Bombyx mori: one gene and its partner. The protein of the gene in region 1 binds, or shares a complex with, the protein of each later gene. Links are inferred from orthologs where the notes say so. Each region holds a gene or a part of one and is shown on either strand. Other genes may lie near its edges. The genes, in order: THO complex subunit 6 and THO complex subunit 7 homolog.

What was found.
Region 2: THO complex subunit 6 (region 1) and THO complex subunit 7 homolog share a complex: the UniProt entries of both Drosophila melanogaster proteins name them as parts of the THO complex. The link is inferred for Bombyx mori from reciprocal best matches to the Drosophila melanogaster genes thoc6 and thoc7.

Annotation. Positions count from the first base shown.
Region 1 is NC_085116.1:3,183,540-3,187,761, forward strand, and holds THO complex subunit 6, read right to left. Parts: upstream 2,776-4,222; 5' UTR 2,599-2,775; coding exon 2,495-2,598; intron 2,413-2,494; coding exon 2,023-2,412; intron 1,898-2,022; coding exon 1,735-1,897; intron 983-1,734; coding exon 662-982; 3' UTR 617-661; downstream 1-616. Other genes in the region: serine/arginine repetitive matrix protein 2, read left to right, coding at 3,605-3,843. UniProt on the Drosophila melanogaster protein: The THO complex is required for cell proliferation and for proper export of heat-shock mRNAs under heat stress.
Region 2 is NC_085129.1:4,007,580-4,011,229, reverse strand, and holds THO complex subunit 7 homolog, read right to left. Parts: upstream 2,211-3,650; 5' UTR 1,748-2,210; coding exon 1,738-1,747; intron 1,664-1,737; coding exon 1,540-1,663; intron 1,164-1,539; coding exon 689-1,163; 3' UTR 614-688; downstream 1-613. UniProt on the Drosophila melanogaster protein: The THO complex is required for cell proliferation and for proper export of heat-shock mRNAs under heat stress.

The DNA of each region.
Region 1 (4,222 bases):
ACAATGCTTGTCCAATGAAGGAATCGAACTAGTGATACCAATTAGACGTAAATAGGAGGCGATTGAACTTATGAGCTGTTTCAATTTGAGGCTGGAGCAAGTAACTATAATTTACACAAGTACCGACTGGGCGCAATTGGTTAAATATTGTTATCCAAAAAACTTTATTGATGTTTTAATGTTGCATACATGCATATTTTACATTGTCCATTAAAAGCTCAAAATATGTACAGGTGACTGAGAAAATGAAAAATTAAGTTATTTAAATATCCTAGAGTAAATTTTACTGAACTTATCATAATATTAGTAAATACTGTATATTAGTCGTCTATTATCAAAGGTGGCAATCTGTGCATTTGGACAAAAAAATGTTATTGATATGTCAATACAGATTGATTTGAATATAATAGTCTCCTTCAAAGAATACGGTTCAAAACCTGCATTAAATAAAGGTTAATACTTAACCTGTTATTTATCTAAGATGTCGCTCATAAGAGTTTTGTGACTACCAATGGAATACAAAGTCAATAATTCATTTTTCTGATTTACCAATAATTTTCCAAAAGTCACATTACCGGCTTTGATAATAGTCGACTCATATAATAAAACTTAGGTCTCGATTTAATTTCATTTAATTTTTTCCACCTAAATATGCTTATAACTATCGAAAATGTAAAACTTGATCTTTGTAATTAAGAGACGTGCACAAATCTATTTCTGGACTGGAACCGGCTAAACTTAACAGGGTGCTGTATTTAGTTCTTAGCACCGCACTGTATATGGTCGTGGCAGACACTGGTAGTTCTACTCTCACCTCACCCGAGTAGCTCATTTGGTAAAAATGTTTAGAAGTACCACCGGCAAACACACAGTCATCATGAAAGAATGACACATGAATCCCATTGTCTGGAATGTCAAAGACTGTCACTGCATCTAATGAACGAAGGTGCCACAGAGACAATCGAGGTCCACCACCGCATACCTGTAAATTTTTTATATATTCCATTATTAATTATCACCCAGGTGTTAAGTGGTTACCAGAGCCCATAGACATCAGTACGTTGTAGATGTCTATGGGCTCTAGTAACCACTTAACACCAAGTGAGCTGTGAGCTCGTCCACAATCTAAGCAATAAAAAAAATTCTACAATGTAAATGCGCCATCCATCTTGAGATATAAGTTCTAAGGTCTCAGTATAGTTACAACGGCTACCCCACCCTTCAAACCGAAACACATTACTGCTTCACTGCAGAAATAGACAGGGTGATGGTACCTACCCGTGCAGACTCACAAGAGGTCTTACCACCAGTAATTATGCAAATTATAATTTTGCAGGTTTGAGTTTCATTACACAATGTTATTCCTTCACCGTGAAATCAATTGTGAACATTGGTCAAGTACGTATTTCATTAGAAAAATTGATACCTGGCTTGTGGGATTCTAACATTGTTGCATTGCTAGATATGATTGCACCGGACATCTTATCCTTTAGGCCACAACGACTTCGACACAACTTTCCTTAGGAATGCTATTGATGGCTTAAGAGGGTTTTAAATAAAATAAATCGCCTTTTACAACACACACAGAAAAATATCAGTCACAATATTATTATGTAAATTCCCTATTAAACAAAAATAATTTTTTCACTGATTTTCATTTTTGTTTTTATTTTCACCTCTGGCATTTTAATGATAATATGTATGAATAATTAGATTGATGATAGATGAACTTACAATCCAGTCATCTCCAAGAGCTGCTGAGCCAATCCACTTGCCAATATCAGGTCTGCTGACCTTATTATTAGTGTGCGGTTCCAATTTATTGTGTGATTTTCCACTTCTAGTATCCCAAAGCATAACCAAACCATCTTCGCCTGCTGAAATAATCTGTTGGTTTCTGAAATTTTTTTTTAAATAACTTCTTTATTACTGTAATATTAGCCATAAGCATATATGTATATCACTGTCAGGGCAAATATATTAGCAGCTGAAATAAGGCAAATAAACAAACAAACAACTTACTTTCCATGAATAGAATGAATAAAATTATTATGTCCCTTATAAGTTGAAATAAGGCTCCCATCTTCCAAATTAAACACATACACATTATTGTCTCCACAACCAGCATACAGCTTCTCACTGTCTTGAGATAGCCACATGCAGTTCACATCGTTGTAGTCCAAAAAAGTTTGGGAAGGAATCTTTATGCTCCATACAGGTTTTGATAATTTAACAGAAACAACAGCCTTCCAGTCCCATCCGCATATTTCATTAACGGTACCAATTATAAGGAATTTTTCCGTTGAAACTAGACTACAAATCTGTTTTTTTGAATCTATAGAATGTATATGTTTTGGTTTGTTGTATTCAACAGATAATAATTCTAGTACTGGATTTAAAATACGATCTAGGCTGTAACAAAAATTTAGAATGAATTTATAAACCTCTCCAAATATTAAAATATACTTCTATAAATTTAATACAAATAACATACTCAAATACAGCAAGATCTCCATAAATATTGCCGGCCACTAAATATTTACCACACGGCGATAAAGTCTGAGATAAAACAGTGTTATACAACATTTTATTCAACATGGTAAAAGTTTTGTGTTTGCTCAGAAACTAGACTACTTCGTCAGTTTTTCTAGATGCCATGCAATATTTTAATTGAAAAAGAAACATAAACAACCATAGGTAAACAACACAATTTAAAGCTACATATAACCTCTATTTCGAATGCAGCGATTTTTTTGCGGCATACACTCTTTAGGCAAAGGGAACAGTGTCCATGCTCTATTTTAAAAAACCAAAATGATTTAGCTCTATAGCTCTTTATGACGAATTGAGATAAAATTAAGGCAAATTCACCCTGTATAAGAACAGAAATTTAGTAAGACCTAAGGTTATTTTTTTAACAAAGGAAGCTATATAGACGAAGCTATCTTTCCACAAATCAACTTAATAAATCACGTATTAATTTATTGACTCATTACTATTATAGGTTAGAAACATTTTAATAAAATGAAATAGGTACTTCACTTTACTCTTACTAAAACTCTTATTACACTATATTATTATGTACTCTTATCTAAAACAAAAATATTGTGGTTTTATTGACATTTGCCTAAGTTTCTTTTCATATATTTCATTTTGTTTGCCGAAAACTCATTAAATCATGTTACATGTATTATTTTTATTCAAAAATTATGCTTTTTATCTTATTGTTTAGCGATCTCAAAATAGAAAAGTTATTCTAAAGTTCCAATTGATTTGCTTGACTTTGTCATTGTCAGTTAAAAACTATAGATAAAATGAAACATCTAAATTCATAGCCATTTCGTTGTCTATGAATAATTCAATCTAAAAAAATCAAAACCAAGCAAGATGGTCGTGTTCAATTCTTTTTAAACATAAACATATAATCTAATAATATTGTGAGTTATTGATCATTAACGTTGATACATTTTTTGAAAGAGAAATTGTTATTTATAGATTATTTTACTAACTTTTCTGGGAGTTTCTAATCTCGTGGCCTAATTCAGAACCTTCAATTTGCACACCGTAAGTGTTACGATTGGTTTTAGGTATATAATACGAAATAATGTATAATGGGATCGGGTTGACGACGCCACGGGGCTCCGGTACAAATGGCTACGTACAGAGAAATTGGGCCACGGTAAGAAAAACAAAAGACTCCGTCAACTACCGGACTGAAGATGAGATCGCCAAGTTGGATTCGGCGTCAAACAAACAACCAAATAGAGAAATACTCGATCATGAGAGGAAAAGGAAGATTGAAGTCAAGTGTGCAGAGTTGGAAGATAGCCTGGAAGAACAAGGGTGAGTAGTTAGCATAAATACAACAAATACACAGAAATCGGATTCATGGTATTGGAGATTTGTTCCGGGGATGGTCTCTTAAATTTTTATGATATGAGGTTGGCACACGTTGGGCTTTATAAATCAACATTATTTTGTAATTCTTGCTACCTTTTTCAGGGTTTCCAATTATTATATATTTTTTTTCTAAATTTAATTTTGTTTGGTAATTTAATATTCATATTATTAGGCTTTTTCTTCATATTTCAAGGAAACCGTGATTACTTTAACAACTATGACAGTCTGCTAATAATATTACTAATGAGTTATAATAACTGATGATAGCAGTAGGTAATCATAGGAAATTTTATGTGCTGTGAGTTTTTGTTTGTTATCAATT
Region 2 (3,650 bases), on another chromosome or scaffold:
GGTAAACCTTATAGAAACCATTTAAAACAAAAAAAAGGTATTTGCGATTCATAATTTAATGTTTGCATTAGATCACTATGTAGTGTGACTTTTGGACAAGTCATGAAAACAACAAAGGATCTACCAGGCAAAGCCTAGCTAAACTATCCTAATCCTAAACCTAGGACTTTAACCTACATCTAAACCTAATCCTAAACCTAAGAATCCTCGCAACGAAAAAGATCGGACCATACCTCTGGGAATGTCGCCCAGAGGATCCCGTGATCCGCCACCCACGGACGCGCCTGGTGGAAGTCCAGCATCTCCCCCGCAGACGAGACCCACAGCACGCAATCATTGCGGGCTGAAGGTCCCGTCCAGATCGCGGGCCCCTACGTAACCTGATTCAACCCCAAAGCCAAGGTGAATGGGGTCAAGCTATTTTTTTCAGTTTTTGTGTATTTTTGTAGTGAACAATGTATAGTAACGCATTGTATATAAATATTTAAGCCTCCAGAACCATTATGATCTCCGTTTTATTACTAAAACAAAAAAAAACTATACAAATCAATGTCGAACTTAAAAAGTGTCCCAATTCTCCCCATTTTACAGTACTGAAAATGTAAACAAAAAATCAAGTAGAAAATTCATACTTTATTAGAAATCTCACATAGAGAAATAATCTTATACTCTAATACATCACTCATTATTATGATTCATTTGATATTTCTTTCATATCAACATCATCACAAATAGTCTCTGCATCATCTAGTTCATCTAATAATGCTTGTAATTGATGTATTGAAGTTACAAGCACATGAAATTGTTTCTTTCGTAATGCTAACCGACTTTCCAATTGCTGTTTGGTGGTTTCCAAGTTTGCTAGTTCAGTCTTCAGAGTGCTCAATCTCTCAGAGGTTTCCTTACGATCAGGCTGTTCACTGATAACCTTAGCCAAGACATCATATTCTATTCTGTTTTTTCTGACAGTCTTTGCTTGTGCTAAATCTGTTTTGCTCTTCTGTATGTTCTCTTTGGCCACCTCTATTCCGCTTTCTAGAATTTTCGAGAGTGCTTCGTAGCTTTTTAATTCAGCAGCCATCATTTCAGAACCGAGTTGCGATTTTGTGACAGCAAATTCGCATTGTGCCAGTTGAGCTAACATACGATCATGAGTAGCTTTACTAAAACGAGAAATCTTAATCGTATTACATATTCTGGAACTACAAAAACTTACATTTTGACTGCAGATTTTTATTCTCATAATAAAACAACAAATGTATATGGGGAATAAATGAAAAGGTTAATGAACACTTAATTGAATATTAAGGCTCTTTATTATAGATAAACAGATGCCAACATTTCCCTGCTGGTATTAAATGCTTACCAGAACCTTTGGGACACGAGATAGAAGTTTCAATTGAATTTACAATGGCAATTCTACCCTTCAAATTGGAAGCTATGATCAATGCGGAAGCTATGATAATTCGGAAGTGGAACAGTGTTTACGCATGTGAGCTCACAATACGTCCTAATACGGTACTATTTATTAAAACCAACCTTTCTTCCGGTTTGTCATCCGTTGTATTGCACCATTTTATCAAAGTTTTTAAAAGTACATTCAGTCTCCTGTCGTCTCCAGTACCGTCACCGTCGATCAGAAGTCTTCTACGAATCACATCTTCTGGAAATAACCAATGAGTATTGAAATAGTATTTGTTTTTGAGTAGTTTTGTATTCTTAGGTAAAGTTATTTACCGTCACCCATTATGTTTGGAGTAAAATTCAAATGAAATTATGATCTCGTCCGAGTTTGCCTTATAAATTGTTAGGTAATGTTTTTATTCTACAAAATAATCTTATCATAAGCGAATTCAAATTTATCCTTGTTCTTTATATGTAAGTGCTAACTTGTGTGTTTTATTTACAAAAATCAAGAAAAATTAAAAATATTTTATCTCCAAATTTTGGCAGGTTAAATTATTAATAAAAAAAAAGTTTTTTTTATCCAACTCATAGGCAAAGGAGACATTCTCATAAGTTAAAAATGCTCTTCTTTTTATCTAAATATTTTACGACAAAGCCTGAAATCATATCTGTTGCATAAAAAATGAAATGATATAAATAAGACGATAACTATTTTTATATTTAAAGATGAAGAAAACTAAACTAAATAAAACATTCACACAGTATTACAACTTTACTATTTCACATTCCTGTCAAAATTGATTGAAACAAAATTGCTGACCGTGGTTTCTTGAGATCTCAAAATTTAATTGAACGCTGATTAAATTCTTAAGATTTTAAGAACACAAAGCTTAACCTTTTTATTTTAATTAAAAGATTTTGATCGGCTATTTTCCCTTTGCTCATTCAATGGACGAAAGAAAACCACAGACTATTATGAGATGCCTGCCAAACAAGAAAAAAAAACAGATGTCACAACCACAATTCACATGTTGTTTTGCCTTTCGAATTTCGATCCATTGTTCAGGAAATGATGAATAACTGCTATATTAAACCCTTTAAACTATTGAATCTATTTTAACAGTAAATTAGCTGAGTAAACTTTCGGAATATCTTTCACTGAAACAATGGAAACGTCAAGTTTCAGTGATAAAGTCGAGATTTATTTCTCGGAACTTGGGCGATGGCTAGTATCAATAAATAAATAAATAAAATATTTTTTGGGTAAACGTCCTTAAACTAACTAAGTGTGCATTTTCAGGAAAGTGTGGAGGAGCATACTGCTTGGTCAAGTGTTATCCTTATTTCTGAGCGGCAAATGTATATTAACAACAATGTTACAAAGCGCAACCTGGCAGTTTCCTATCACGGGGCAGCTGGTCGTGCCGTATTTAGTACTGTTTGTACTCTTTACCCCGAGCCTACTTTGTACCGGGCTGGAGAAGCTAACGAAGTAAGTTCCAATTCAATTTTAAGACATGAAAAATATCGTCTTTTAAACCAGTTCTATTATTGAAAGAAGTATAAGACAAGACTAAAATAATTAAACTTACTAGGTACTATTACTATCTTATGTTCAATGGTGAGTGCGCTAAGTTTTCTTAATATCTTCTTACTACAAATGTGGAAGTAACCAATATTTAAATCTAACTATAAAATGTTACATTTATCGAGATAATTTTCTCTTATTCTTTTGCTTTGGGATAACTTCCCGCTCTACTCTTTTTATTAGTCAGCAAAATAAAGTATAAAAACATTTCTTAATTCAAGCTAGTATCAGCTGTGACATGTTGGAAAGCTCTGTGCATTCTGTTGTGTGTTTTGCTTTTTTCTTTATTAATACAAGAAATGGAATGGTAGCTGGCCTAATTAACCTTTAAATTTTCAATGTTCAATTCAAAGATGACTGTCTGAATAGATAGTTAAATAAAAAAGTAAATGTTAAATAATAATCAAGTATTTCTACTTAAAAAAGAGATGAAACAAAAAAATAATTACATACCTAGGTATAGAAATCATGTATTTCATTTCAATAAAAGATTCCATATTTAGTAGTTAATTGGGCAATGCAACTAATGAAATGAATTTTGTTGTTAGAAGATGGTGGGTACTCATCATTGCCTGTGTTCTTGACGTGGAAGCTGGCTGGCTGCTAGTCATGTCACAGAGGTTTACATCAGTGTTGAGCTGACAGCTGTTAGCAT